4 linked regions of the Arabidopsis thaliana genome follow. The protein of the gene in region 4 interacts with the protein of the main gene of each other region in a biochemical or structural test. Each region holds a gene or a part of one and is shown on either strand. Other genes may lie near its edges. The genes, in order: BZR1, PHOT2, CHIP and RCN1.

Region 1 (7,743 bases), about 19 Mb from region 4:
CACCAAGTAGAAGAAATTTGAGGCCTTACCATGTTCAGACGAGGAGTAATACTCGAGATTTTTGAGTGTGAGTCACAAGAAACTTCCCTGTACAAAGCCTTTTGAGATAACCGCGATGATCTGTGTCCTCTCTTCTTCGACTTATGAGGCTTCAAAGTGTCCTCAGTTGCTGCAAAAGACAATCAAAGAACGGTCTTTATGAAACATTTCAAAAAGACTAAAATTTGGTACTTTATTGCAGAGACAAGGAACCAAACTTACTCATATCGGAGGGATGATTCCACTGTGTAGAATGGTCGACTTCAAGATCATTGTCTTCTTCGTTCCCTGTAGGATGTTCAAGAACACTAAGCGCATTCCTCTGCAACTTCACTTCAATTCCATTAGTCAAAACCTGAAAATTTAAAGCAAAAAGGACAAAGATTAAAAATTGAACTCCACAAACAAAGTAAAGTTTGGGACTTTTTGAGAAATGGGAATGGTTGGAGACAAGAAGTGGTGGAATTTGATATCGATATTAGTAAAAAAAAAAATGATGCTTTGGGTTATGAGGAAATCGTATAAGATACTGATTTTTATTGTATAGCTAGAGAAATGATCAAAAAAGGATCAAAGAAAGTAAAATTGATAATATAAAAACTAGGAAGCCTAATGAAACGGAGAACATCTATAAAAAGTTTAACATTTTTCAGTGGATGAAAATGACCAATCTGAAAAAGAAAGAACAAAAACCCTAAATATTATTAATTAAAGTATATCAAAATTAGTGACTACAAGTAAAACAAATCTAAAAGCCAGCTTGAACCCACAAAGATAAGGATTCTCAAGGAATTGATTGAGAAAAAGTAACACAAAAGTTAAAAATAAATATAAAAAGTGCAGATCGTTATGATGCAATTTAACAAAATAAAGTTATGATATTTTAAGAACAATCAATCTAATCGGTAACATAGAACAACCATTGATTTTATTGCATTATTGAGCTAATGATTCTGGATCTTTTGTTAATCAGTTTTTAAAAATCTACTCTACTGGGGGAATAAAAACACAGACAGACACAAAGATGCAAAAAAGACAAAACGAGGTAAAGAAGAAAGCGAAGTTGATCTTTGCTCACCAGCCAATGCCAACCACCGAGTCCGACGGCTTTCTTAACGACGCCTTGAAGACCGACGAGAACAGATTTGGTACGGTTGTTTCCAGTAACGACAACTTTGGTATGACGTGGCAACACTGACAATTCTTCTTCGCTACTGCAATCGCCGAAGCAACTCTGTAGCTGAGAGAATCCTCCTCCTCCTCCATTGAGGATGCTTGACTTGTTCACCGGAGCTTCCAGCATTTTGTGTTTTCTCTCTCTCTCGTTTTTTCCCTCTCTATTATCAGAAAGTACCACAAGCTTTTTTACGATCTCGGAAATGGAAGTTGGTGCATTTTGTGAAGGATTGAGAAATGGAGTAAGAGAGAAATCGAGCTGAGAAATTAGGGTTTGTTTTTGGTCTGATGAAGAAAGACAGAGTAAGAGTGAGAGAAGAAAGAGGAAAAAGCAGAGTGTATTATGATGAGTAAGAGAGAGAAAGATAGAGATACAGAGGAGGGAAGGGAAGGGACGATAGGCGATAGCGACCGCCTTCCTATCGTGACCAATAAGGTATCAACACGTGTGTTTTGTACTTGTATCATTTGCACTGTGGAAATTGAGCGGTTTTTTCATGGATGGGTACCAAAACCTTTTTTTGTTTTTTACCGAGAGCTTTTTTACTTTTTACTCTCTAATAAAGATGAATTCATTTGTTGGAAAACTTGTATTACTTTTTACTCTTTATTCACTGTATTACTTGTCTTGTCTTGGTTGTGAAGATTTAGATTTTGTAAAAACGAAATTGAAACAAAAAAGAAAGGAGTGGATACGTTTGGTTAATTTGTATGAAACATTTTGGGTACTAATTTGTATTGGAATCTGAGATTGATGCTTTTAGAGGGTTTTAAAATGATCAAAAAAGGAAAACGAGGGCCACACTTCGTAAATTTTGTGTAATGTCTACACGCGATCGACGTGAATATGAATGGTTGACTGGGTTTTTTCAAAATAAAAAAAAAGTCAGGAGTTATGGGGCCCATGCATGCGTAAGTTACGATTATACCCCTATTGTTTATTTGTTTTCGTTCCTCTCCAATGTAATTTGAATTTGAAATCACGCCTCTATTAAATATGTCATCGTATAATGTCCATATTGAACATTTAACTAAACTAAAACAATGTTCATGGAGTGATTCTTAAGCCAACATTTTTTCTTGTTCAAGACATAGCATTTTGTAAGTTTGATGGTTTAAAGTAATGTACTTATTGTCCAAAACGAGTTAGCTAGGTAACATGGAGTTAATCGGAAAAACAGAACATATTTCCAAAAAAAACATACTTAACACATAATCTACTTATTATCACAAGTAGGTTACTAGTGCCAAACCAAAGAAGAAAACCCCTAAATTCCTTTTAATGCTAGAAACGAAAGCTGGTATTAAGATTTAACTGATGATTTAAAACGTATCACCAATAATTAACACATAATCGCTCGATTAGCAACAAAGTCGTTGTAGTATAGTGGTAAGTATTCCCGCCTGTCACGCGGGTGACCCGGGTTCGATCCCCGGCAACGGCGATTACTTTAGTTTTGCCTAATTCATCGAACCCTCTGATTCATTCCAAATGTTTCCCAACTCGCGTTGATGGTTCGGGTTCCTCTGCTTTTAAGACATTAGTTACATGCTCCTGCACTTTCTACAAAATAAACGTCATAATCCAAAAATATTACATGATCATACATCATATATGCCGCCGAACCTTGTTATGGGACAAACTCGTAAACCCCTTTTTCCTTTTATGTTCAATGAACTATACAAGTTTTGGTTATGAATACATAAATAATGATGGACCCAGCAATTAATCCAAAATTTGGATATTAGATACTAAAGCTTAAAATCAACATGTAACCAAACTAAATACTTTATAGAACATAGTAAATGGTATTCACCAATCTTTATATCATTTGTAAGGTACGAAGAAGGTAAAAAAAAGAGAGAGCCAGTGTACATACAACTAATCAGGACAAAAGTAGTCAAAATTGTTTCTAAAGTGAGATTTGTATGCAAGAAAAAAGTGATAATTTTTAATTGAATATATCATTATGATGTTAATCACACGGCTTCACTGTATAAAATAAAATTTTAAAAACCAATCAAATGGTGTGTTTTTCGGTCACACAAGTAAGGGACCCACACTGAAGAAACGGTCCCACTGTGTCTCCTCCTTTCTTTTCTCTGTATTATTTGGTCATTACTCATTTTACATACTCACAGAAAAAAAAAAAGATTAGAACATAAACACACGTTACTAAGCGTAGTTATCCTCTGCACCTTAACATACACCTCTTATATTCACCTCACGTAATCTCACCCTTCCAAAACCATGTATTTACACGTGGACGATCGATACACAAGAACAATGATTCTTAATATGAACTCAATGTACTTGAACACACACACGACCCAATTTTTACATTAGATGAAAAAAATATTATTATTTGTTGGAGAAGAAAGAGAGATTCTTCTTCTTCGATTCCAGCGAAGGAAAAGCGTATTCCTCGTGAGCACTAACTTCTCACTCCTCTCTTCTTCTTCTTCATCAGTCTACGTTCACACAATCTTTCACCCACCTATTCAAAGCTCTCTCCGGAAGTTTCGAGGGGTTGGTTGTTGGTTTTCCCGATGACTTCGGATGGAGCTACGTCGACATCAGCAGCTGCAGCTGCGGCGGCGGCAGCAGCGGCGAGGAGGAAGCCGTCGTGGAGAGAAAGGGAGAATAATCGGAGGAGAGAAAGACGGAGAAGAGCTGTAGCTGCGAAGATATACACTGGGCTTAGAGCTCAAGGTGATTATAATTTGCCTAAACATTGTGATAATAATGAAGTCCTTAAAGCTCTTTGTGTTGAAGCTGGTTGGGTTGTTGAAGAAGATGGTACTACTTATCGCAAGGTGAAGACTTTCTCCATTTTTTCCAGATCTGAGCTTGTTTTATTGATGTTTTTGATGTTTGAATCTGAATTCGTTGATTTCAATTGTGGTTAAATGGGTTTGAATCTGAGAATTTGAGGGTTTTCTCAAAGTGAATTTGAATCATCAGAAACTATGGATGGATCTGATTTCTCAAAGTGAATTTATGGGTTTTCTTTCTAATTTTAGAGTTATTATTGGTATGCTAAAGTCTTAATCTTTTATGTATGATACTTGGTCCAAAGTCATTGCATTGTGTTTCTTTTGCTTACCTGTGATTGATTGATGTTTGATTGGTTATTGTTTTGCTTTTGTTGGAGTATCAGGGATGCAAGCCTTTACCTGGTGAGATAGCTGGGACTTCATCTCGAGTAACTCCATATTCATCACAGAACCAGAGCCCTCTTTCATCAGCCTTTCAAAGTCCCATCCCATCTTACCAAGTTAGCCCGTCTTCTTCATCATTCCCGAGTCCTTCTCGCGGTGAACCAAATAACAACATGTCCTCTACATTCTTCCCTTTCCTCAGAAATGGTGGCATTCCTTCTTCTCTTCCTTCCCTCAGAATCTCAAACAGTTGTCCAGTTACCCCACCGGTCTCATCGCCGACTTCTAAGAACCCGAAACCGTTGCCTAACTGGGAATCTATCGCTAAGCAATCCATGGCCATTGCTAAACAATCAATGGCGTCTTTTAATTATCCTTTCTATGCGGTTTCTGCACCTGCTAGTCCGACACATCGCCACCAGTTTCATACCCCGGCTACTATACCTGAATGTGATGAGTCTGACTCTTCCACTGTTGATTCTGGTCATTGGATAAGCTTTCAGAAGTTTGCACAACAACAGCCATTCTCTGCCTCTATGGTGCCAACCTCTCCTACCTTCAATCTTGTGAAACCTGCGCCTCAGCAGATGTCTCCAAATACTGCTGCCTTCCAAGAGATTGGTCAAAGCTCTGAGTTTAAATTTGAGAATAGCCAAGTTAAACCCTGGGAAGGAGAGAGGATACATGATGTGGGTATGGAGGATCTTGAGCTTACACTTGGAAATGGGAAGGCTCGTGGTTGACATAAACAACTAGGCAAACCCAAATGGCATGTCATTGGAATATGAGAAACTAATCCTCTTGAGTATTTTCTTCTTCGTCCAGGTATTTGGATCTTTATGGAATCTCATATGTTCTTCACTTATTATCCAAATATGCTGCCCAAAGCCTTCTCCATGGAAGCATTGGAGTGTTAGAGTGGTTATTCAATTCATGAATTTGGTTTCAAAAGCATTATTTGTAGATAAAAAAATCTTAAGATGTATGATTCTGTTTCCTTACATATGTTACATTAATTAGTGGCTTGAAACTGTCTTGTGTCTTGTCAAATTGCTTAGTCATATATCATTTCTTGAGCCGATTCTGTCTCTTAGCATCAAGATCCAAAATTTGCAAAAACATTTGCTTTTACAAAATGTTAAATTCTTTATTTCCCTGCAATCAATCTTTTGGTCAAACACTAACACATCATCAAATATCTAGTTAGACAAAGCTAGCTAGGATAGTAGCATAATCAATGAACACAGCTAGCTACAAATGGTACATTCCATAACGAATACAAACACTGGTCACTCATCTTCTTAATAGTCCAATCCCTGTTTCTGATCAAACAAGTAATGGAGAATGCAGATCCAGTTTGGTTTCAGTCTCATGGCTTTTTGTTTCTCTCTCAGTCTCAACATTACATTCTTGGTATCTGAAACAAGCTGTGAGATGATCATTAACAATGCCAGAGGCCTGCAAGAAGGAATACATAACAGTAGGACCAACGCAGCGAAACCCTCTCTGCATCATATCTTTGCTAATGTACTCTGCCTTTGGGGACTTAACCGGTACTTGACGACCATATCGATAGCCATTTCTTAATGGCTTGTGGTTCACAAATCTCCAACAATAATTACTGAACGATCCAAATTCCTGCTTGACCTGTTTTCAGATTACAACCAAAGCTATTTCAGTAAACACATAGTATCTACAATTTCATAGCAAAACACACAGTGCCTACCTTGAGAACAGATTTCGCGTTCTCTACAATTGCTCGCAGTTTCTGTTCGGATAGAATTAGACACCCATTAACTCTAAGAGACATCAACCTCTTCTCTGTGAATTGTGCTATAGCTGAAGGATCAAACTCTTCAAAGAGCTTCCTACAAAAAAGAAACCAAAACTTCTGATATCACACCAAACCAAAACACAAAATAGCAAATTCACCGTCCTAAGTTTACCTAAAGTCGTCTCTTCTGCGTAGGATTGAAGGCCAGCTAAACTCAGCCAAAGCTTGTGAGAAGACAAGTAGCTCGAAGAGTTTCTTGTCATCACGAACTGGAACACCCCATTCCTCGTCGTGGAACAAAACATAGATCGGGTCTGTTTGATCAATCACCATTATTATTATTAACTGAAAAACTTACATATCCAATGTCATCAATCATCTTCTACATTTTTTTTTGTCCTTATTTATCAACTACAATACCTAGTTTTTGCTAGGTGCAATTAATGTGTTGTTGACATCTATGAAAACTGATTGTAACCTTTATTAACTTTAACGTATTATCAAAACAAAATTACATTTCGAAAACCATAAAAAGCCATTCACATGGCATCAATTTATAAAGTCGATTGAGATATTTTATTGGGGCCAAAAACGAAGAAATTTGGTAAGTATCTTTTAATTCTTTGCAGATTCATTAAATGTTGTGACAAGGACAACAAGTCTCTACATAGTGTAAAACATTTTATTCCTAACAATAAAACCTAAAAACTAATATTTTGTTTTATTCTTTAAAAATATACTCCCTCGTTCCTTTTTGTTTGATTGTTTAGAAAAAAAAATTGTTTCAAAAAGATTAATTTTTTAGATTTTCAATACAATAGTTATTAGTTATAATTGATAAATTGTAAACTTCAACACAAATTAGTGAATATCATTGGTTTAAAGTTATTGAAAATTGTAAATCACAAAAAATAATACATTTAAATGCAACATTTATTATGTTTTCTTAATATTTGTGTATTTTCTAAAAGATCAAACAAAAAGTAACAGATGGATTATATACTTCCTCGTTATTCACGAAATTCAGAGGTAAAAAACAGAATTTTCTCTAAATAAATGAGAGAAAAAATGTGAATTTAAATTAAAGTTAAATGAGGCAAAGAGGGAAAAAAAAAGGTGTCAGACAAAGAGACCTGAATTAGGTGTGATCCAGTGGCATCTCTTGACCGGTCCCGGAATTTTAGGACTAATGTCTTCAACGACGGCGACGGAGGCAACGACATTATTGAGCTTCTCAACTCCGTTCCGTTTCGACGGAGTGGTTACTTTCCCAGAGTTTGTCGTGTTCACTGACGAACGTTCCGAGGATGAAGAAGAAGAAGAGGAATCATCAGTCGAAACTGAGAAATTGGAATCGGGCTTCTTCGTCGCCGGAGATTTCGTCACTCGTGGATTCAGTTGTGGCTTCTTCGTCATTTCTGTTTTCGTAACCTTAAATCTGTTCCCGGTCGAACAGAGGATAGCTCGTGACTCATCTATTGGTTTAACCGGAGAACGAAGCTTAGAGACTATAGACATCTGAGAGAAGCTTTGAATGGTAGGAGATGGAGAATTCGAAGGTAACGTGAGGGTAAAATTGGAAAGATAAGGAA
Region 2 (7,329 bases), on a different chromosome or scaffold from region 4:
GCGTAATCTGTTTGTTTCATTGCACTTGCAGTCTGGTTAGAGTTGGAGAACTGGTTTCCTACATTGTTGATCACTCCAGCTGCTTCGCCCTTGTCTGAAGTTAAATCTGGGAAGAGTTGAGTTATACTGAATGAAGAAGTATTTTTGTCGCTAACCAGCTGAGTCCACGAAGCCTTCTGAAGCCATGAAGAACCTCCTGTTGACTTGTTACTAGCTTTCAGCGGTCCTTTACCCGCCTCTTCTTCATCTACAACATTTTCCTTCACGACTAAGCTTTCCTTTTCTGCATTCAAATCCTCTGCTACATTTTCATGCTTCTCCACATTCGACTTGCCGTCCACACTATCGCCCTCTGTGTTTGCAACAAATTCCAGGGGGACAGCTTCAACACTTGTGTCACTAACAGTATCTGCAAGTGATCCTGAGTCGTCTGAACCTACATCGTCATTAGCTGTGTCATCGCACATAGAGTCAATAGCTGTGTCATCTTCCACATTATCACCATCATCGCTCTCAGCCATAGAGTTACTAACTGTGTCATCGGCCATAGAGTCAATAGCAGTGTCATTTTCCACAGCATCCCCATCATCACTCTCAGCCACAGAGTCACTAGCTGGGTCATCTGCCATAGAGTCAATAGCTGTGTCATCTTCCACAGCATCACTATCATCCCTCTCAGCCACAGAGTCACTAGCTGTGTCATCTGCCATAGATTCACAAGCTGTGTAATATTCCACAGCATCACTATCATCCCTCTCTATGTCATCTGCCATTGTGTCACTATCATCCCTCTTTATGTCATCTGATACAGGTAAATCCTCTGCCATGATTGTAGACGTTACACGCTTTCTTTTCGTCTTCTTCTTCAAATTTTCTCGGCTAGGAAGCCCAGCAAGATCAGTGTTGCGTGGTGCAGGTTGTACTGCTTTACTGGAGCCAACACCTGGCAAGAAACTGGATACACTAAAATCATTGCTGTTCCCATTTGCCATAAGTGATTTCCAGGAAGACTTTTGGGACCAGGAAATATTGTCGATTGACTGCTCAAGATCTTTTGTTCTGCTCGGTTCATCCGATGATTTATCTGGTACCACTTCAGAAGGCTTCTTCTTTCCACGTATGGCCTGTGAAGATTCCTGTCTTCCAGTTTCCTCTAGGCTGATTGTTTGCCTATTCTTGCTTGGATGAGTAAGGTTCCCTTTTCGTCCTTCACTATATCCTTCTTCACTTGGTGTTTTTTTGTTGAGAATTGATTTCTGAGTTACAATCAAAGAAAGAGCCAGATCAGGGATGAGGTAGATGACTCATTATTGGGTTAAGTATAATAGAAAAAATATAAGTAGCACTACGTACCCGTTTTCTAGACAACATATCCAGCGCTGAGTCCATATCATTGCCACTAGATGCCACATTGATGATGAGGTTATCTTGGTCTGCTTCAATCTCATTGTCTTCTTCGGGGTCCACATTGTTTTTCTCAAAGAGCTTATTCATCACCGAGTTCATAACATTCACCTCGGCTTCTTGTCTTCCCACATTAACCGCTTCCAGATCATGAAGATGTATTTCCCGAGGAGTGAGAGAGCTGTTAGAGTGCTCTTCACAATCACAAAAGCTCCTTGGAAGAGAAGACGACACTGGAACACGCTGAAAGCTATACTTATGTTTACCAGTTCCACTAAGTGGCATAGGTTTCACCTGCACCACACATACGTAGCTCAAACCCTAATCTCTTACTACTCCTAGTACTAACTATGTCATATAAATGTTACAACTTTGAAGGAGCATTAGTAGTACCTTTCTGAGTCTGGGAAAGAAGATGTTAAGGTGAGTGGCAGGTGGTGAATCGGAGGGAGCTTTAATGGTGTTATCAGAGGTAGAAGACGCTGCCTCCCACTCTCGCTTTAAGCGAGCTAGATAATGCTCTTTTGCTTTCTCCAGTCTCAGCCTCCCTCCTTTCCAGACACATCCATTATACTGCCAAAATCGAATTAGGGTTAAGAATAACAAGAGTAAGGAGAGAGAGAGAGAGAGAGAGAGAGAGAGAGAGAGAGAGAGAGAGAGAGAGAGAGAGAGAGAGAGAGAGAGAGAGAGAGATCGAATTCACTCACTGTAGAGAAGAGCTTGGTGAGTGAATTGGTGGAAGATGGAGAGAAATCGATGTAGGCAAAGGAACGACCTTTGGTCCTGACGAATTCGACGGCATCGACGGTACCCATCGGAGAGAATATCTTGAGAAGATCATCTCTCCCGACGCTTTCTCCTAATCCGCCGACGTGAAGCCTAACGCCGCCGCCGCTGCTTTTTTCCTCCATTGCTGCTTGCTTCAGTTGGATTCAGTTTTCCCTCGCCTCTCCCTCACTTTCCTTACTTCTTAATCTTAACTAATAAGGCCCATTAGAGAAGACCCACTAGGACTTAATGGGCTTTTAGCGGGAAAATAATAAGGCCTAACAAGTTTTTAGGGGTCCCTTCTCTTTAATTTCATCGACATTATTTGAAACAGACAGTGAAAGAAGAAACAAATTGTGGATTCGTCGTCTGCGAAAGCATCTGGGAGAGAAGAAGCCACAGTCATTTTCTTAAACGTGTTCATTTTTCGTCTAATCAAATCATGGCGCATGTTCTGTTCTACTACAATCGTAAGTTTACTGGGTTTTATCTATTTATTGTTTATTCATTTTACATTGAAACATGTCTGAATTATTGTACTGGAAAAATTGATGTGAGGGGTGTAATAAATTCGTTTGATTATGAAGAAAATTTGTGAAAGAAGAGGGAATGATGAACAAGAGTGCACGTATTAAGAGGAAACAGAGTTGTGTGGTCCTTGACCTTGAGGGTGAAAAAGGGTCCATGTGAGTTTGATTATTGATAGCGATGTCTATCCTCCCAGGCTTCCGCATCGCTCATTTGCAGCCTCAGAAACATGATTGTCTTTTTAAAATAACTCAAATAATAATATAACTGGGTTTTGGAAACAGTACAGTTGTGTTTTTTAATTGGTCTATCTCTCTATCTTTCTCATCGTCTTTGCTCCTTTTAAAGACTGTGTACTATATTTCCATGAGTTGCAGCTGATAAAGCTACTCTGGTTGGTATATATATATTTTTCATTTATTTTATCTACTTCACCTTCTTTAACGTGTTTTGTTGATTTGCTTCTAAAGACTTTTAATGGCATTTATTACTTTGTTTCTCGAACCTACAGTTGTGTCTGCCTCTTCTTTCTATCTAACTTGTCTATGTGGTGTCTGGTTTTGATTTGCAGACTATTCATTACTCTGTTTCGCCATAAGAAAGAGAATAAAGAAACGTTATGGAGAGGCCAAGAGCCCCTCCATCTCCTTTGAATGATGCGGAGTCATTAAGTGAACGTAGATCTCTTGAGATTTTCAACCCTTCGAGTGGAAAAGAGACACATGGATCAACTTCTTCTTCTTCAAAGCCTCCTCTTGATGGCAACAACAAAGGTAGTAGTAGTAAGTGGATGGAGTTTCAAGATTCCGCTAAGATTACAGAAAGAACCGCTGAATGGGGATTGTCAGCTGTTAAGCCGGATTCGGGAGACGATGGCATTAGTTTCAAGCTGTCCAGTGAAGTGGAACGAAGCAAGAACATGTCTAGGAGGTCATCCGAAGAATCTACATCTTCTGAATCAGGGGCCTTCCCTAGAGTATCCCAGGAGCTCAAAACTGCTCTATCCACGTTGCAGCAGACTTTTGTTGTCTCTGACGCTACACAGCCTCACTGTCCCATAGTCTATGCCAGCAGTGGATTCTTTACCATGACTGGTTATTCTTCCAAGGAAATTGTTGGAAGAAACTGGTACTGCTCATCTCGTATCTTGCTTCTAGTTTCATTCCCAGTTATTAGTTAGAATAATATTGCTTTTGAAACCCATGCCAACTTACTCTGAAATGCTCTTAATCTTTGTGGGTAAAACGCCAGCCGGTTTCTGCAAGGGCCAGACACCGACAAGAATGAGGTTGCCAAAATCAGAGATTGTGTCAAGAATGGAAAAAGTTACTGTGGAAGGCTGTTAAACTACAAAAAGGACGGAACTCCCTTCTGGAATCTTCTCACAGTCACTCCTATCAAGGACGACCAGGGCAATACCATCAAGTTCATTGGGTACGTCCCTTAATTCCTCCCTGTTTTTCCCTAATTAATCGACTGTCCCTCGATCAATCATTTTCACATTTCCATCTGCAGGATGCAGGTTGAAGTTAGCAAATACACAGAAGGGGTAAATGATAAAGCATTGAGGCCTAATGGACTCTCCAAATCCTTGATTCGATATGATGGTATCTGTTTTTTTGCATCTCTTCGTTAATTCAACAAGTTTTTTTTAGCCAAAAACAATGATATAATTTAGCAAAGAGTGCTGATCCACAATCTTTAACATGTAATGGTTTTGATGATGATATCAGCTCGCCAGAAGGAGAAAGCTTTGGATTCCATCACAGAGGTTGTGCAAACTATAAGACATCGTAAGTCTCAAGTTCAGGAATCCGTGAGCAATGACACTATGGTAAAGCCTGATAGTTCTACTACACCTACACCTGGTAGACAAACAAGACAGTCAGATGAGGCTTCAAAGTCTTTCAGGACACCTGGACGTGTTTCTACTCCAACGGGGTGAGTCTTCGTAACCACTAACCACCAGATTACAGTAGTCTTCCTGAACATAAAATAAGGCATATATATTGCCCAAAAAGTGTGATGGCAGTGCCAAAGTTTTGCAGAAACAACTTGCTATTATCATTGCCAAATAGTGGTAAAATATATACTACACAATCTCAATCTAGTTGTTGTGTTAGTCAATATTTAACTCATAGATAATTTCCATTCGAATACGAAGATGCAGTTGCAATCTCCTACTATTGTTCTGTTTCTTATTTCTCGTGTACTTTTGTAACTTTGTGCTGGGCCTTAGAATGTATCCTCTGACATGGATTGGGTAGTGAATTCTGAAGCTGTGTATATATATGTATACATATACACTCAAGGATTTCTGATCTAGCTTCGTGTAATGTGCAGGTCAAAGCTCAAAAGCTCGAATAACAGGCATGAAGATCTTTTACGTATGGAACCCGAAGAATTGATGTTGAGCACAGAAGTAATAGGGCAGAGGGACAGTTGGGACCTATCGGATAGAGAAAGGGATATACGCCAAGGGATTGATCTAGCTACCACTCTTGAGCGCATAGAGAAGAATTTCGTCATCAGTGATCCTCGTCTCCCTGATAATCCCATTGTATGTTTTTTCTGTCTAAAATTGAGATGAACGTTTTTTTCTCGAACCTTAATGTATCAATTGTAGAGTATATTTCATATATTGATTGTTCTTACTCAAGTGTTCTACTATGTTTGTAAGCATATAATCTTGAATTGATAATGGAAATCGTTTTATTTGCAGATCTTTGCATCAGACAGCTTTCTTGAATTGACAGAGTATTCACGCGAGGAAATATTGGGGAGAAATTGTCGGTATGTGAAAATTCTTCTTTTTGTATCTTCTACTCATGAGATTTATCATGCCTTTTAAGTTATGCAGTCTTCTCCGGCTGCGTTTTTGTTGTTTCGTGATATGGATATGTGCAAAGTGGTTGGCTTCAGGTTTCTTCAGGGGCCAGAGACAGATCAAGCGACTGTCCAGAAGATAAGAGACGCAATTAGAGATCAGAGGGAGATTACTGTGCAGTTGATAAACTACACTAAAAGCGGTAGTTATCAGATACTGAACATTTTAAAACGATCATACTGAAAAGTTTCTATGTGGTTGTGTCATTAAAACTCTAAACCATTGCAGGAAAGAAATTCTGGAACTTATTCCACTTGCAACCTATGCGTGATCAGAAGGTCTTCGTGAGATTATTGTTATATCTGGATTCCGATTCTTGAAGAAAACCGTGCATTGTTGCTGATTACATGACTTTATTCATCTATTAGGGAGAGCTTCAATACTTCATCGGTGTGCAGCTTGATGGAAGTGATCATGTAGAGCCCCTCCAAAATCGTTTGTCTGAGAGAACAGAGATGCAGAGTTCGAAATTGGTATGTGGTTCATATCCTACTGAGTTTTTTGAACATCTCTTTCCTATCAAAGGAGACTATGACATTGGTCACAATTTTAGGTGAAAGCTACGGCAACAAATGTAGATGAAGCTGTCAGAGAGCTTCCAGATGCTAATACGGTAAGGTGTACTAGTTCATTATTACTTAACAAAGATGGAAAAGTATAAATGCAATCGAATTGCAATGTATTTTAGCGGCCCGAAGACCTGTGGGCTGCACACTCGAAGCCTGTCTATCCTCTGCCTCACAATAAGGAGAGTACGTCCTGGAAAGCAATAAAAAAGGCATGCATCGAACCATGTTACTTTTTACTTGGTTTCTCATTCATCCTGTTCTTATTCTGACAGTCTCCTTTGTAGATCCAAGCGAGTGGAGAAACAGTGGGACTACATCATTTCAAACCAATAAAACCGTTGGGCTCTGGTGATACTGGCAGGTACAACATTGCATGTGTCCATAGCAATAAATTCATCTGTCCATGAATCGCCTTGTACTTCGTGTATACTTATATGGCGTTTTTTGGTTGGAAAAAGTGTCCATTTGGTTGAGCTGAAGGGCACGGGTGAACTATATGCCATGAAAGCAATGGAGAAAACAATGATGTTGAATCGTAACAAGGTATATGATGGAGAATGAGTTTCCTTTTAATAAGGAAAGCTGAAAAATTCAACATTTATATTATTTCTTTCGTTGACAACATGCAGCTTTATGCAGGCTCACCGAGCGTGCATCGAAAGGGAAATCATTTCCCTTCTGGATCATCCATTCCTTCCTACTCTCTACGCTTCTTTTCAGGTAGATGTTTTTCTGTTTTGCTTGCATCATGTCGGTTTGCCCGTTTCATTGCTCAATTGCTCTTCTTTTTCTTCCGCAGACCTCTACGCACGTCTGTTTGATTACAGACTTCTGCCCAGGTGGAGAGTTGTTTGCACTACTTGACAGACAACCTATGAAAATATTGACAGAAGACTCTGCAAGGTTCCCTCTTTTCCTCAATCTAAACGTATAATGTGTAACAGAAGATCTCCTGGTGATGTTTTAACTAAATAGGGGCACTATGTTAGCAAGAAAACATATCACCTTCTAGCAAGCATTCAGTTAGCGGTTACTCGGATAACTGATGAAGGCAATAAATCCCATTGTCATTATTATATCTGCAGTTATGAGTTAATCTGATCAATCTCTGTCATCAGGTTCTATGCAGCAGAGGTTGTTATCGGCTTAGAATATCTTCACTGCTTAGGTAAT
Region 3 (7,506 bases), on a different chromosome or scaffold from region 4:
CTTTTACCTTTAAATGTCTGTTTTTGAAGATTTTGATTATTTTGTCTTGGGATTAGCATCATGTGTTAACTCTCTTGAAATGTACTGGCACAAATGTTTGAAACTAATCAAATCAATTTTTTTATCATCTACTTTAAATTGTCTAAATATGATAGAAGAGTGCATCCAAATTCAATTAATAAGATAATTATATTTTTCTTTGACCAAATTAAAAAGGATAAATAAATATTGTTTGACTGCATTAAAATTTCTACAACTTGGATTGATAAGATTCGTTTTATTGAATATGGTAGATAGATATCCTCTTATTATTAAAAGAGAAGTACAAATTGAATTTTTGTCTAATTTAGCCTCAATTTTGATTTCAATTTTGAATTTTGTTCTTCCTTATCAAGGGTAAAATCGTCCAAACCAAATAATTAAATTAAACAGGATCCGCGTTTTACATAGACGGGTGAGTTATGTTTAATGGGCTTTTGATCACATGTAAAACTACATAATGGGTTACCATCAAGTAATGCAATCTTAGCCATAACACGATTAGTTGTATATCTCAACAATTTTTAGTATCTAATACACGCATATTCCATCAAAATAGTCTGCATATTTAATTACGATTTTAAGAATCTTCAATCATATATTCACCCTCCTCACTAATCACTATAAAATCGGCATAGACGAGTTTATTCGATTCTTCTAACTACCATAACACGATAATACATTCCATAAATTAGAAAAAAATCTTATAAATTTATTCTCTTAAATTTAAAACTAACCATAATCAACTAAACAATATTTACCACTTATCTAAATATAGCCAATCATTATGAACTAAACCAAATTCGAATCATTAGTGAGGATCCAATCTTTGATTTGCAACTTATCCTGCAAGATATTTTCGAATATTTTTGAAAATATTAGATCCAACAACCCTAGCCTCCTTCATCACTATAAATATCAAAGTCATTCTCATCACAAACCAAATTGAGATCAAGAACGATTCGATGGTTATTATCATAATCAATTCATGATAGTGAATGATTGTTTGCATAAGTATTCATGACGAAGTGGATGTTCTTCGTTGATGTTGATGAGTTTTTACATGTTCCGGTGAAAGAGACGATTTCGTCTGTGATGGAATCTTTGGAGGAATATTTTCAGTTTACTATTGAACTGATGCCTATGAGTAGTCAGGTTTGTTATTCCGGTGATGGCCCGGCCAGAACTTACAGGTAACATTCATAACTTTGTTGATTTTAATGATTGAACGTTAACCAAAGCCCATGTGTTGTTTATTGAGTGACTTAGAATATTAGTCACAAGTTTTTTGAAGGTGACATATAATATCAATAAGCATCTGATTCTGTCAACACTTGGCCTGTAAAAGTCTTTGTGCATTCTGTATTAGTCTCCTATGTCGGTCACGATCTTTGCTTTTATTGAACATCACATGATATTAGTGAGAAATGTTGTAAAGATTATTTCTTTTGTTTGTACCAAATATTGAATTGTAATTGGTTTGTATATTTTCTGTTTTTAGGAGGGAACATATCGGTTATTGATTTGGTTTAGTTCAGGGACTAATCTAAATGGTATTTTGGTTTTGTGTTTCAGAAAATGGGGAATTGAGAAACTGGCATATAGAGACGTCAAGAAGGTTCCAAGACGGGATCGGAAATACGCGGTCCAGCCGGAGAATGTATTCGCGATAGGCGTACACATGTCTCAGAATCTACAAGGGAAGACATAGCACAAGGCTGAGAGCAAAATCCGTTACTTCCATTACCATGGTTCGATCTCTCAGCGCCGCGAGCACGCACTCCTTATGTGCTAGACACTACAATCCGTGATGTTGGCCTTGCTGTGAGAACGTTCGAGTTGAGAACGATTGGTGATCGGCTGCTACGGACAAGACAATGAAGAGATGAAAAACATGAATAGTGAATCTAATCAATCTTTAGAAAGAAGAATTAGGTGTTAAGATGATTTACTTTGCATTGTTTTCTTTTGGGGGTATATTCTTTTATTGTATCATATAATTTGGGTAATGGGATCATTAATACAGCTTCAAAATACTCTTTAGTATAAATATTCTGTATGATTTAGAAAAAAGGTCTCCTCATAAATGTTATTATCTTTGTTTTGCCAAAAATAAAAGATAAAACATACCAACTTTGGTTTTTAAAGATCTTATAATCAACAAAATAATTACACCATCTATCATTATATTATATTTTTGTCACCATTTTACTTATATCAAATACACATTTAGTAATTGATACACAACTTTAAACACAATAAAATACATGATTCTAATCAGTAAATAGTCTCCATACTAATAAAAGATTCCAATCATTATTTATACCAGTTTTAAAAAAACTAAATATATGTTACTATTTTTTAATATAACACACACTAATTTATTTAATAAAAAATTTATAAAAGCCTTCGCGCGACGGGAAACCGCGGGTTTAATCCTAGTTGTATAAATAATTTACAATTAACCCAATGACCGGTTTATGGTAGTAAACAAAAAGAATGACTATAAGATCCGGATTATGATCCAAGTCTCATCGAGCTGACCCGGTAAAGAGACTAATCTCTTTCGATAACCGATTCATTTAAAATTCCCTTTTGCTTACTTTTCTCTCTCCTTTCATCGAGAAATTTCGCGGCTACTTCTCTTCTGAAACGCACCGGGACGCGCCGTCGCACAAGTTACAGAGGAGTGTTGGAAAGGATAAAGACTTGGTTTTCTGGGGTGCCGTAGATATGGTTACAGGCGTGGCTTCCGCCATGGCGGAGCGGTTAAAGGAAGACGGAAACAATTGCTTTAAGAAAGAACGTTTTGGTGCTGCCATTGATGCTTATACCGAGGTACATGGTTCTCACTCTCCTTCTCTCAATTTCATCGTTAGGGTTTTGTGTTTTCCGAGATTTTGATTGAGATCTGCGTAGAGTAATAAACCCTTGATTATAATTTCGAAATTGGACAATTCGTTTGTGAATCAGAACTTAATTGCATCCAAATTAGGTTTTGATGGAGTGTACAATTCGAGAATAGACATTTGATGGAATTTATGAATCTTTTATGTGCTCATCGTTATAAGTCATCAAGAAACTTCAGGCTTATTCAATTGTAGTGGTTTTTCTTATCATTTTTTTTTTGTGTAATTGAGTAGGCAATAGCTTTGTCTCCAAATGTTCCTGCTTATTGGACCAATCGAGCACTTTGCCACATGAAGCGAAAGTGAGTATTGTTCTGTCAAGCAAATTTTATACATACTTCTGATTAGGCAATCCTAATGCCCAAATACTTTATGGTTCATGTTTGGCTTCTTTGCTTGCATCAAATTTAGGGATTGGACTAAGGTTGAAGAGGATTGTCGCAAAGCTATTCAGCTTGTCCACAATTCCGTCAAGGTTTGACTCTTTTGATTATATCTAAATGGAATTCTTTTGCTTGGTGTGCTATGTATGGAATATGTCAAGTTTTTTGTTTTGTTTTATCTTTTCTTGGCCTTCTTTGATCCTTTCTTCTCCATCATATGAGGATTTTACAATTATGTTCTGTGGCAGGCACACTACATGCTAGGACTTGCATTATTGCAGAAGAAAGAATTTACTAATGGAGTCAAAGAATTGCAAAGGGTAAGGATCTTTGTTAGTCCTAAGCTTTTTTCTGTAAAATTTATCAGTGGACATGATTGTTTAAGTCGTAACGTTGAGACCTAAGTAGTGTAGTTTCCAAGCATCTTAATGAAGATGTGAGGCACCACTTGAATCTCCATCTTTTTCCTTTTGAAAGATGTCTAAGTGGATACTGTGGACACTTGTTTTAGTTAGAAAAATCACTAGAGATGGGTTGGTTTGTTTATGCCATCAAATACTGCAAACAAATTTTGGTTTGATACCTGTTTCCTGTTAACTTCATGTAGCTACGTTTCATATAGGCTTTAGATCTTGGAAGATGCTCGAATCCAACAGGATATATGGTAGAAGAAATATGGGAAGAGCTTTCTAAAGCAAAATACATGGAGTGGGAACTGGTTTCTGCAATGCGGTCATGGGAACTGAATAGTTTGAAGTAGGTTCTGTAACTTTCTTAATCCAGTGCTATCATTCGACTTGGAACTGTGCTTTTGTGGCTTTATGGAACTATTCATGTTTGTGTTAGGGAAACTTGTGAGGCTGCTCTTAATCAACAACGTGCTTTAGATATGTCTCGAACAGAAGAGTCCTCAGACGAAGCATATACTGCCCATACTGAGCGTTTGAAAGCTCTTGAACGAGTGTTTAAGAAAGCTGCAGAAGAAGATAAACCAACTGAGGTGCATTAAATTTTCTTTAAAAGCTTTTAAGACCCATCGTTCATTTATATTTGAGGTCAAATACATTTCTGGTTTTTCTTTTCAGGTGCCAGATTATTTATGTTGCAATATAACTCTTGAGATTTTCCGAGATCCTGTAATTTCTCCAAGTGGGGTTACATATGAAAGAGCAGCAATCCTTGAACATCTCAAGAAGGTTTGCATTATCATCGCTCTTTTCTTGTAGCCTTAATCTCTATAAAAAATATTCCTCATTCCTGTTAAGGTTTGATCGTTTACACCACTTGATAGGTGGGGAAGTTTGATCCTATAACTCGTGAAAAAATCGACCCGGCTAATCTCGTTCCAAATCTGGCTATCAAAGAGGCAGTGGCAGCATATCTAGAAAAACACGTCTGGGCTTACAAGATGGGTTGTTGATCGAAATGGGGATTAACATAAACACAATGAAGCGGATGAGAAATTGAGGTTAACTACTCAGGTGACCGAACAAAACAGATGGGTGCGTTTACCTTTTTTCACATTTGTGTTTGTTGTTGCCGATGTTTTCAGTGTAAGATTCTCTGCCCTGTGTATATATTACAATGTTTTTTTGTGCACTCTGTACACATTGGCCATATGGCTTAGCCTATATAACACACATACAGAATTTATTTACTATTGAGGAAAGCCCAATAACATACATACAGATATTGTTTATCATTGAGAAAAGCCCAATAACAGACAGATTTAGATGCAGTTCTCTGACGTCAACAAGATTGATGAATTGTATCTCATTAGGATGTAGTCCAAGGCATGCTTAAGTATTTTTTGAAACCTTCTTGGACCACTCCGGTTCTGTGCCATGAAAAAAATCTGGATTGTGTGATTAATCATCTAAAATAAAACTGAAAGCCTGAAAATTCAATATAAAAACAAAAAGTTGTCATGCAATAGTGTAGAAAAACAATGATTTAGTTGAATGTTCATCAAAGTTGAAAGAAAGCAAAAGACATGGGCCATCATAAGGTATTCAAAGTATTGAATGAATTCTGCCTAATAAGGCGTAAATCTTGGGGTCTTTTAAATAGAAATAAAACTACTATTTTCTTTATCTATATGATTTCCACTGGGGACACATAAAAGGTAAACCCACCATTGTGGTTGTGGATTATTACGATTCTTTTTCTTCCTTTATGGGATTTATTTCTTTTTTTGTATCCAATGAATTGTAAACGTTACTTCTTGGGGATAAAAAGTTAAAAAGAAAGCATCAAATTCTTTCTTTTCTTGGCTTTTCTGTGAAAGTTTGGTGAGGAATAACACCAAAGAGTGGTTTAGGACGAATCCATATTCTATCCTCTCTATTAAATATTCCATTTTTTCAACTTTCTCACGATATGTTGACCTGTAATTATTACGAATCACGAGTTTTAGCAATTTCGTGATTCAATTCTAACTTCCAAGCAATCCAACCAACCAAATACATGTGATTTTTATCATTACTTACATGCTTCTTGCCTTGTCTAGAACATTTTTTAGAAATATATTACAAAACTACTCCGTTATGTTTTCTAACAAAACTTATAATTCATCAGTGATAGTCGAAATTTATTTATAAGCTTTGATGAGTATTTATTTATATATAAATAAACTTAAAAGTACTGTTTTTTTCTAACACGACAATAGGAATCACATCGTCACGTTACATTACATAGAGAAAAAATCACATCAATGGAAAACTCGTGACTCTGTAATAAACTCTTTTTCCAGAGAGAGTGGAATTAGATTGATTTGCTTTGTGGTTTATCAGTGATGTGAGGAACACGACATGACAGCCTTTCTATGTATTTTTAATAATCTACTTATTTATACACAGAAACAGACGAAAAGCTACACACTGTTACTTGTTGACCAAGGCTTTCACAGCTGAATAAAGCCACCAACATTGATTTTATTGATTGATTTCTCCAGAAACATCAAACGCAAAAACTATTCACACAGATTTCTACTTACATCTCACATACGAAAACCAATAACCATTCAGATCCTAAAGATATGAATAATTTACAAAAATTCTTACAGCCAAATAAAGTAAAAAAAAGAAACAAGATTTTAGGTAATTTACATTGCAGATTTCAAGGCTTTTCTCAGGCTGTATGAGTGAGATTCATAGCTTTTCTCAGTCTGTCCAATATCCCGTTTGCTTTCCTCTGCGCCCTTGAAGTTCCTTCACGCGAAAGCTTTGTTATCGTTCCATGAGCATTCTCCTCTTCTTTGATCTCCTTCCACTTTGTCCTGTCGCTGAAACATATAGTATGCAGTATCACTATCGCATTCTCTTTGTTTCGCTTGCACTCGCTCTCTCGAGTTATCTTCAGCAACCATGAAACCCCACCGAGCTCACCCAATTCCTCCACAGCCTTCCAGTGAGTAACAAGCATTGCCAATATAGCTAAAAGCTCATCAACGTACAACCCATTCGAGATTTTCTTACCTAAAACCCTAACAGCTCCGTCTCTCACAGCTCTACTCCTGTTCTCATGGGCTATACAAAGAGTGAAGATCGCTGCAGCTACGTCTTTGATAGCTAATGGATTCCCTTCTTCTAGGAGATCGATAAGCGGTTTCAGGATTCCGGACTTCCCTATAAGTACTTTGTTTGAATCGAGAGCTGACAGAGTGAAGATCGCTGCAGCTGCATTGCTTCTCGTGGCGACTGTTCCACGCCTCAATGCATCGATAAGGAGAGGAATCACATTAGGATTTTCGCAGACGAGCTTCTTGTTGCTGTCATCATGTATTGATATGTTCAACAATGTTGTAACCACATCTTCTTGAAGCTTCTCATCTGGGTTTGACCCGTGTAACAAGGGATTCACCAACCTGGTGATCTCATCCGGAGATTCGCCAAAAAGAGCTCGGAACTCAGTGCCTTTCCTGGTCAGAAGTCTTAGCTCCTTGGCAGCTGATTTTTGATCTTGAAGGTTCGAAGAAGAGACTTTACAGAGCAAGGAATTGAAAATCTCACGATCTGATCTTGTCACAGTTTCATCTTCATTTACAAGGTTGGGATGATATTGGCTCTTCGTCTCAAGCCCGTTCTTCTTGCACCATTTCGAGATCATTTCACGGATTAAGAGATTAGGTGTTAAAGCCGTGTGAGGCAGAACTTGCTGAGTCTTGGGACATGTTC
Region 4 (8,846 bases):
ATTAGTCTGGGGACTTCCTAAGGTGATAATGGTGGCACATGCTTTCACAGTAGTCATGCTTTTGTGGATGTCTCTATGGTCTTTTGGAGCAGCTGGTGTTGTGGCATCGAGCATGGGCGATGAGGGACGATGGTGGCTTCTTGTGGTGAGCTGGCAAGTTTTGCATTTTTACTCACGGTTTCTGTTTTCTGCTTTAAGTGTCTGAAAGTAAACATGTTTAGAATTCACTCAATCATTGGAACATATAATATATATGCAGGTTCTTTCGGTTAGCTTATTCTGGACAGGCGCTGTGCTATGTAACACTGTCCATGTTATAGTTTCTGGGATGGTGTTTCATGTTCTCTTTCACTGTGGTCAAGAAGAGTCATCATCGTTGCCTCCTAGCTCTTTGGTAGACTCACTTAGGTATGCCGTGACAACATCTTTTGGGAGCATATGTTACGGTTCACTCTTCACTGCTGCCATTAGAACACTTCGCTGGGAGGTAGTCTCCAGCATCCTTTGCTGTTCGTAAAACATTATCATTGCTCCTCTTGTTAATAACATTAGTCTGCAACTTTCTTTTGCAGATAAGGGGATTCCGGTCCAAGATTTGTGGAAACGAATGTTTACTTTGCTGCGTTGATTTCCTGTTTCATCTAGTTGAAACACTAGTTCGTTTTTTTAACAAGTATGCATACGTCCAGGTATATATATAAATATAGACAGTTTTTAAACAAGCTCATCATCTCCCTCCTATGAGCAATGAGACTCAGAATGAAAAAAACGTTTGGTTAATTATCAGATTGCAGTGTATGGAAAAGGATTCAACAAATCAGCAAGAGACGCATGGGAATTGTTTCAGTCGACAGGTGTAGAGGCACTTGTTGCATATGACTGCTCTGGTGCTGTACTTCTGATGGGAACCATCTTTGGAGGACTCATCACAGGCTCTTGCATTGGTATATGGGCTTGGATCAAGTACAGTGACCGAGTTATAATGGTTGCATCTACGGCTATGTTGATGGGAATGGTTCTTGTGAGTTTTCTTTTGTGCACTCTTTTAGTCACCCAAAAAATTACATGACCAACTTGTTCACTTTGTTTCATTGATCCAATGTGGTGTTCAGGTGGGTTTAGGAATGGTGGTAGTCGAAAGCGCTGTGACATCGATATACATATGTTTTGCTGAAGATCCTTTGTTGATTCAGAGATGGGATGCTGATTTCTACACTGAGATGTCTGAGGTGCTTCACCGTCGTCTCCAACATCGTAGCTCGCGAGCCCGTGAAGTTTTGACGACCGCTTGATTAGCCTATGCCTCCTCTTGGAAAATAGGAGATATAACTGTAGAATATTATGCTATTAGAGGGTGCTAAAAGCGGGCTAACCCTTGTGGCTAAAATTATTTTGTCAAATGATTTATGCTTTCTATTTGTTGAATCATGAATAGGAGGCTGTGGGCGTTTGTATCAAAATCTAATGTATTGATTTTTGTGTTTATTAGAAAAACAAAATCAATTGAATAGAACAAAGTTGATCTAGAGGGGTTGGATAAAGTTTGAAACAAGAACTAGTCAGAAGACCAAACATAGCCACACGCATTTCACTCTATCTCAAATAGTTTCACTAAGGGAGTAGTGTTAGCATTAGTAAACTAAGAAGAATGTATAAGGTTTGGAACAACAGAAAGTGTAAAAAAGGTAATACAATTTTACTAACAAAAATAGTTGCAGTTCATAGCCAGCAACCAAAATGGCGTTTTACACAAACAAACCAAATAAATTGCAGAGAACACGAATAATAGAAACTTAACTTAACGATCATACATATGAAAAAAAAACAATTCAGGATTGTGCTGCTGTGGAACCATCGATGGAATTAAGTGCTTGATTTGCAAAATAACGAACATCAACATCAGGGTCTTCGCTCAGGTCCACCAAACACTGACGGATTGTTTTGTCCACCACCTACAAATTTTTGACACGGCAAAAACATTAAAATTCAACAATTTCCATTAGTTTTCGATATAACTGAGTTATGTTTGTTATGATCGTACTGATTGGTCGACTATGGGGATGAGGGATTGCAGAAGTTTGGCAACGTTGAACTTGATGTTTGGAACTCTGCAGAGATAAGAGGTGTGCAACAACAACACATTAAAAACTAAGAAGTGTTCTTAAACTAGTTTGGCTTATTCATATCCTCTAATCTATCTATTGTACCTGTCTTTTGATGCTTCAACAACCACAGGAAGAAACTTAGAGCATGTGATTTCTGATCCCATTACAGGCGCCATGAGAGATATTGCGCGTAGAACCATCATCCTGTGTAGGTAGTGCGGATTGTTGACCATGTCCAATACCTGTTTATATGATAAAGGTCAATCTGGAGATCTCAATATTTGCAGCTTTAGTGATATCCAAAGAAAAGGGACCAAAGCTGGAGATTAGATGTTATAGGTGAGGTACTTGACATAGATCAACAATAAGATAAACAGACAGATGGTTTTAGTATAAAATGCTCAAAGAATACCTGGGGAACTAAGTGCTGCATTGCCCATTCAGGACCAAACTCCTCTGCGAGGCGCTTTAGGTTGTTTGCTGCAGCTTCGCGGATAGAGTAGACCTGAAGGAGGAGAACAGTGTCAATATCTACAATAACAAGTGAATGAGAAATTTATGCAAACATCAAAGATTCAAGGTAAACCTTGTCTTGCAGCCATTGCATGCAAAGGGCTCCGAGCTTGTCATCGAAAAATCCTATACCTAACTGGCTGGCCAACAGTGGAACATACTCTATTATTGCAAGTCGGACTCTCCAGTGCCGATCCTCAGCAAGTTCTACAATGGCCGGTAACAAGGATTGAGATAGTAGATCAATTCCAATAACCTGCCGTAAAAGATAATTCAGTCACCAACTAAATAAGGAAGCAATAAAAGTAGTATCTAAAGCACACAAGAGAGATGCAACAAACCTGGTTGACTTGATCTAACTTGCTTATGATGTTAAGGCGCACATCAGGAAATTCATCTTTCAAAAGGGAAAGAAAAATTGGTAACAGATGCTCAATGGTTGAGTCCTGTATTGAAAGATTTTAGTATGTTAATAATTTTTTGATAAGGTCTGCAACACCAGTTGGGGCTGGTATAACCACGCCATAACACAAGGTATGGCTGATTTTGTTGATGAAAACCATAAAACAAATTAAATCTCAGAACATTGTCACAAGATGCGAAAATGTTGGCTATCTTCAGTTCATACCTTCCCAAGGATAGGAGCCATCCCCATTATTACTGAAGCTAGAGCAGAGCGGACATGTTGAGAAGAATCCGATGATAATTCCTGCCAGACATCAGTATGTATCAGAATATTACGAGACAGGGGACATCAAACAACTCGTTTATATAGAATTTAAGGAGTCTTACCTTCACACAAGGAAGGATGTGCTGAATCGCAAGCTCTGGATTCAAAAGCCGACAGAACTTGGTCACTTTTCCCGCTGCTGCTATTCGCACTTCAGCCTCATTGTCCCTTAGCAATCTCACATATGCTGGAACCAAATCCGTCCTAGAGATATTATAACATAAATTGTGTCAAAATAAAAAGATACATGTACAAACATAGAACTACCATGGAAGGCTCTTATATGAACGAAAAAGAATAAAGAAAACTTCCAATAGACGCTCTTAGATGCATATTTGTTTGAAGGTCACAAAACTGTTTTACGAGAACGAAAGCCTAGATTAGCAAGGATGACAAAAAAATCAACAATGTCACAAAACACATACCTCGTGCAATCAGGACCCACTGCCTCACAAAGTTCATATAGCTGATTAGCAACCATGTAGCGCACCCTCCAAGATTTATCCTGCTCTCAGAAATCAATACAAACACCATAGAAAAACATCAGAACAGCAAGCTTTTACCGATGAAAATTAAACATGGAACAGCAGACAATTAACTGAAAAATCCATGAATGAAAAAAACAAAGCTCAATTCACCTGAGAGAAATTAACAATAACAGGTAAAATGCGTGCAACACAATCCTGAGGTTCCAACAACTTTCCAAGAGCTGCACACCCTTCAACAGCCAATAGTCTCACAGAATCTTGGTCTGAAATGAAGGTTAAAGTTTAACCAATATAAGCACAGATAAAACAAACATTTCTGAAGAGGTAAGTATCCAATATATTTCATCAAACAGCGTTTATTAATTCAAATGTGATCTCTTTACCATACTCTTGGGTCTATGCAAACTATTTCTAAGTGATGAGCACATATAAAGTACGATATATTCAAACATTAAGTACCATCTTTAGTAAGATCATCGAACATAGTCATGATCTCAGCAATCAAAAAGGTAGACTCGACAGTTGTAGCAAATTTCCCCAGGTTAGATGCAGCAGCTCTTCGCACCATTGGCATATCATCTTTGCACAACTGGCTATAAGTAGCCCGTAACTCAGTCTTCAACACATCAGTGCAACCTTGGTATGCAACATGAAATATACCACATGCAGAAACTCTTGCTGCAAACCATTCACCACCCGCTAACCTCTACAAGACAAACAACAAAACAAAAAAAAAAGCTTTGATTGAACCAACTAACAAAACGGCGTAATCTAGTGCTACATAAATCTCCTAAACTAACCTTCACAAGAGGAACAAAAGATTCAACAAGATCATTCTCTTTCATCTGAGATCCAATCTTACAAAGCGATTCCACAGCTTTTTCTCTCACACAAGTCTCTTCAACAGTACATAGAGATTCCAAAGGAGGAAGAAGAACATGCGCAAACTCAATTCCTCCAACAAACGGAATAAAAACTCCTAACTCCTCAGCCATTGCAAGAAGCACCTCATCGTCATCGTCACTATTCTCACTCAAAAAAGGGATTAACTCCTTCCTTGTACGCTCCTCTCCAAGAGCACGAGCTATAGTAGATAAGCGACGGATCGAGTTCAAACGAAGCTGAATATCATCATTCTTAAGCTCATCTATAAGCACAGCAATGGGATACAACGGTTCATCTACCATAGCCATCTTATGTGAAAGTTCGAATCAAATCACTGCAACACCAAAAATAATTCCTATGAGCTCATTGCTATAAGAGACGAAACAATAGATATTTTCGGATCTCGAATAAAATATTTAGTAATAAATACGAGAAATCATTTACAGATCCTGGGAAAAAACAATTATAGCCACTCGAGTGTTATCTTCGGCTTTATTGATTTTTCTCTACTTGCACAAACAGATTAAGACTATACTGCAGATTTTGAAACGAATCGGGTATGAATAAAACAGAAGAAGCGAGAAATGGGTTCAGATTCACCGGTTCGAAGTTGGATTAAAGGGAATGTGAATCGGAAAATGAAGGTTTAGAGATGAGATCTTATGATTCGTTAAGAAGAAACTGGAAATCAACTTACCGATCCAGGCGTCGGAGAAGAACTGCTTCAGATTCCCAGGAGCGAGAAAAGGTGAGAAAGAGGAATTCGCGAGCGAGAAAAATAATATTCTGCGTTTGATTTTTTTTTACGAAGGATTTATTAAAGGGAAAGATATAAAATGACGAAAGTGTCTAATTGGGCCATTTTGGGCTTTCTTAGGATTGGGTTATGTTGGGCTTTAATCAATTTTTTGCTTTAAAAAATTAAACAGTTGATTCAATTGATACAATGAAAGAAAAACAAAACTTTCCAATTGAGTTTATGACTTTGCCAAAACAAAACAAAAAGGAATTAGGAACTTATTTCAAGACAGCAAACAAACAAAGCAATAATGTATATAATTTTCTATACAAAATCAACTATATCCCTGGAGCTGAAGCAGCTACTGAGTCTGGTCCAGAGTCCAGCTTTTTCTATATCCGTGTCTCGCTAACTTGTTCTTTGAAATCGGCTTTAGTGCTTAGTTCCTCATACGCGTTAACAATATTTTGGAGCCTTGCAACAAACTCGATCAAAAGAGACGCAAATGTAGCTAGCGACAAAGAACTCGCACTTTCATATACTTTGGATTCTATCTCATTGATCATAGAACCGCCTATGAAAGAGACGCTTGGCCAGTTTTCGCGGTTCCTAAGCATCATACTCTCTGTTGATATCCATAGCTGAGAATCATTACCAGCGTGTTGATTCTGATGATGAGGGTTGTTGTTATTGTCCCATATCTGGCTGAGGGATTGAATCACTTTAGACTCGTCGTCTTTGGCTTCGTGATAGTTTTGTTGCGCTTCTTCAGCTTCGGCTTTCTCTTTCATAGCAGCCCAGCTTTCTGAGTTGACAAGTAGGAAGGAGTTACTGTCTATTTTCATCTGTAGTTCCTCTGCTGCTCTTTGAACATCCTTGAGAACGTTCCCTGGGCTTAGCTTCTCCATTTTCTCCACCTTTTCTCCAAACAACCTCAAGACTTTGGCTCCTTCGTTTCCAACTCTTTGAAGTTCTTGACGAAAAGCCTGCCTTTTTTCTGGAGCTGCCTGCAAATCCCACACCAATTGATATCACAAGTCTTATAGGGCATACGACAAGCATTGAACTCAAAGAAAACCATTCACTAGTAACAACAGTAAACTAGGAGATCCCACTTTGCACCTACTCAACAATTATATGACAAATATCCGACTTCTCAGAGTAACAGTCTAGTTAATCACGAAGAGGTACTAGTAGCATTTGAAGCAGGTTGGTATAGTCTCTAATAACCATTATAGCACCTCATTTGCTATGATAGATAAAGTTGTATTTAACAAGAATATGGTAAGTTACCTGAATTTCCGAAAGAATGCAGCCATGCATTGCCATGACCATGAAAGCGCAGTGCCTTACTGCGCCACTAAGTTTGACGTAGTTTGCCCATGGATGGTGGAAAGTCTTATATGGTCCATGTGGAGGCTCCCATACTGCAAAATCAAGCTGAGGAAAAAAGAGGTCATCGTATCTTATCATCTAAATCCTTTTCAAGTTATCTAGTTGCTGCTCAACAAAAGTGTCCTAAGGAAAACACACCAGAGAATCTTCTTGGCTCGTAGATTGGACTACAGACCTGTATCCACTGTATAATGGATCATCCGAAGCTTGGTAAGTGAGAATCTTCGAAGGAATCCTCTCGTATTCAACACATTGCAAGTACCCATTAACACATCCTGAAAGTTTTAGGAAAGCACAAACAAAACAAGACATAAAAAAACAGCCAAAACCCGAAACGAAACAAGAGAAAACAGCCATTTGACGTATCTCTCTACCTTCAAGTGAATTGGCCACACTTTTGAAATTCTTAACAACTAGTTTATGGAGGTCTTCTCCAGCCCAAATGGGAAGTATAAATATGTTCACACCCAAACAGATACCAGCACCAACCAGGATAAGCAAAAACCTATAATAAGCAGTGCTAAAAAAATCTCTAGAGTTGTTTCCAGACACAAGAACAATACAGTATGTCAACAAAAACACCCTGAATGCATATTCATACGACTTCATCGCCGGGTATAGTTTCAAATAACTTGCAGAAAAACCTGATAGACAAACCAACAGATTCACAAGTATCAAAAATAAAGTTAGTATGTTTATTTAAAAAAGGTTCATTTCTAATAAAAATTGAGAGAAATAGTGCAACCTGCAATGAAAATACTGATAATGATAATGAGTTCTTCAAATTCTCCAGCTGAAACAGAGAGTCTAGCTATGCCAAGAGCAAGTCCTCCAGCAGAGAGTGTTCCTATAGCTCTATTAAATCCTTTGACCAATGTTGCTCCTTCAAAAAACAGAGTTAGAGCCAAATTAGATCTCTGAAGACAAGTAATCCTAAGACAGATCTAATGAGAATTTAGATCGAAGAAGACGAAAGTTTTGATTTTTAATCAAAATCCGGAAGATTTGATCGAACAACAACAACCCCAGAATCGATCTGAATCTATAGAATTCGTGAGTCACAGTACCTATACTATACTCAAAGACGACGACAACAGTAAGGATCGCCCAAACAGCATACTTGCTAGCGTCACGGAGTGGTTCTTTAAGGTAGATGACGAAAGAACAGAGTGCGAGAGCCATCCCCATCTTAACGGAGAAGTAAACTTTCCGACGATCGGAACGACCCATCTCGTATAATTTAGCACCGATGTCGTATAAAGCTTTCCAGGAAGCAGTGATCCCGTCGGAGCAAAATCGGAAACACCGGAACTTGGAACGACGGTCATCGATGATGTTTGAATCATTGAATCCGAAATCTGAGCAAGCTTTTCGAGAGAGAAAGGCTTCTCTAGTTTGGTCAGCCATTTGCGTTGATTTCTTCTTCCAAAAGATCACGATTTCATAAACTGAGAGTGAGATGAGATGGTTCGATCAGATGGATCCCACTTTAGAAGAAACCTTAATTATAGTGGGGTCCTGTAATGAAAAGGGGTGAATCATGTTTAGAAAGATTCCGAAGCTATAAGACAACATATAATTTAATTAGTAATAGTATATGATTTTCATTTGTAGAGCAAAAAACAACATGATTTGGCCGTCCATAAAAGATGTTTCTTGTTCTATATGTATATTGTTTCTTACGAAATTTTAAATATTTGAATTTGAACTCATTTAAAGAAATTTGGAAGTAGTCAAATCATAAAAATTTGTATTTTTAAGGACATTGAAAAGTACGATATTTTTTCTTTCTTACCAATATTAGGCATATCACAATTTTTTTATTTTATTAAATCATTGTTTTGCTAAAAAAAAATCAAGCAAAAATAACTATCAATTGAAGAGTAGAGTTTAAAAAATAGTATCACTCATGTTTTTTTTATAATTATAACATTTATTATGTGATGTATAATAGTGTATAATTGTTTTGTGGTAAGATGAAAAAAAATCGT

What was found.
Region 1: of the proteins of RCN1 (region 4) and BZR1, one has a biochemical effect on the other in vitro, tested with the Arabidopsis thaliana proteins (one study listed by BioGRID).
Region 2: the proteins of RCN1 (region 4) and PHOT2 form a complex in vitro, tested with the Arabidopsis thaliana proteins (one study listed by BioGRID).
Region 3: of the proteins of RCN1 (region 4) and CHIP, one has a biochemical effect on the other in vitro, tested with the Arabidopsis thaliana proteins (one study listed by BioGRID).

The regions. Positions count from the first base shown.
Region 1 is NC_003070.9:28,181,944-28,189,686, forward strand, and holds BZR1 (Brassinosteroid signaling positive regulator (BZR1) family protein), read left to right. Parts: upstream 1-3,560; 5' UTR 3,561-3,765; coding exon 3,766-4,032; intron 4,033-4,376; coding exon 4,377-5,120; 3' UTR 5,121-5,202; exon of another isoform or gene 5,203-5,467; intron 5,468-5,503; exon of another isoform or gene 5,504-5,703; coding exon of another isoform or gene 5,704-6,024; 3' UTR 6,025-6,103; downstream 6,104-7,743. Other genes in the region: AT1G75060 (histone deacetylase complex subunit), read right to left, coding at 30-169, 262-394, 1,118-1,342; AT1G75090 (DNA glycosylase superfamily protein), read right to left, coding at 5,704-6,024, 6,104-6,245, 6,324-6,465, 7,285-7,669.
Region 2 is NC_003076.8:23,521,452-23,528,780, forward strand, and holds the start of PHOT2 (phototropin 2), read left to right. Parts: upstream 1-2,373; 5' UTR 2,374-2,642; intron 2,643-2,678; exon of another isoform or gene 2,679-2,759; 5' UTR 2,760-3,094; exon of another isoform or gene 3,095-3,271; 5' UTR 3,272-3,319; coding exon 3,320-3,828; intron 3,829-3,951; coding exon 3,952-4,134; intron 4,135-4,215; coding exon 4,216-4,307; intron 4,308-4,433; coding exon 4,434-4,641; intron 4,642-5,043; coding exon 5,044-5,260; intron 5,261-5,422; coding exon 5,423-5,493; intron 5,494-5,622; coding exon 5,623-5,729; intron 5,730-5,815; coding exon 5,816-5,865; intron 5,866-5,955; coding exon 5,956-6,060; intron 6,061-6,140; coding exon 6,141-6,200; intron 6,201-6,275; coding exon 6,276-6,365; intron 6,366-6,440; coding exon 6,441-6,517; intron 6,518-6,614; coding exon 6,615-6,699; intron 6,700-6,795; coding exon 6,796-6,876; intron 6,877-6,955; coding exon 6,956-7,059; coding exon of another isoform or gene 7,060-7,090; exon of another isoform or gene 7,091-7,274; coding exon 7,275-7,324; intron 7,325-7,329. Other genes in the region: ROS3 (RNA-binding (RRM/RBD/RNP motifs) family protein), read right to left, coding at 1-1,256, 1,354-1,698, 1,798-1,977, 2,112-2,315. UniProt on the Arabidopsis thaliana protein: Protein kinase that acts as a blue light photoreceptor in a signal-transduction pathway for photo-induced movements.
Region 3 is NC_003074.8:2,355,568-2,363,073, reverse strand, and holds CHIP (carboxyl terminus of HSC70-interacting protein), read left to right. Parts: upstream 1-2,524; 5' UTR 2,525-2,772; coding exon 2,773-2,877; intron 2,878-3,182; coding exon 3,183-3,250; intron 3,251-3,359; coding exon 3,360-3,423; intron 3,424-3,579; coding exon 3,580-3,651; intron 3,652-3,953; coding exon 3,954-4,087; intron 4,088-4,177; coding exon 4,178-4,331; intron 4,332-4,416; coding exon 4,417-4,527; intron 4,528-4,622; coding exon 4,623-4,751; 3' UTR 4,752-5,167; downstream 5,168-7,506. Other genes in the region: AT3G07380 (glycosyltransferase family protein (DUF23)), read left to right, coding at 1,060-1,232, 1,615-1,750; PUB9 (plant U-box 9), read right to left, coding at 6,461-7,506. UniProt on the Arabidopsis thaliana protein: Has E3 ubiquitin-protein ligase activity and may target misfolded substrates towards proteasomal degradation. Regulates the activity of some serine/threonine-protein phosphatases by E3 ubiquitin-protein ligase activity.
Region 4 is NC_003070.9:8,947,883-8,956,728, reverse strand, and holds RCN1 (ARM repeat superfamily protein), read right to left. Parts: upstream 5,568-8,846; 5' UTR 5,419-5,567; intron 5,056-5,418; 5' UTR 5,030-5,055; coding exon 4,637-5,029; intron 4,543-4,636; coding exon 4,296-4,542; intron 4,100-4,295; coding exon 3,987-4,099; intron 3,854-3,986; coding exon 3,774-3,853; intron 3,553-3,773; coding exon 3,411-3,552; intron 3,328-3,410; coding exon 3,247-3,327; intron 3,065-3,246; coding exon 2,960-3,064; intron 2,875-2,959; coding exon 2,692-2,874; intron 2,611-2,691; coding exon 2,518-2,610; intron 2,348-2,517; coding exon 2,208-2,347; intron 2,109-2,207; coding exon 2,042-2,108; intron 1,953-2,041; coding exon 1,830-1,952; 3' UTR 1,569-1,829; downstream 1-1,568. Other genes in the region: AT1G25500 (Plasma-membrane choline transporter family protein), read left to right, coding at 1-145, 260-487, 573-689, 788-1,021, 1,113-1,292; AT1G25480 (aluminum activated malate transporter family protein), read right to left, coding at 5,853-6,467, 6,754-6,900, 6,994-7,130, 7,230-7,499, 7,601-7,738, 7,923-8,262. UniProt on the Arabidopsis thaliana protein: The A subunit of protein phosphatase 2A serves as a scaffolding molecule to coordinate the assembly of the catalytic subunit and a variable regulatory B subunit. Seems to act as a positive regulator of PP2A catalytic activity.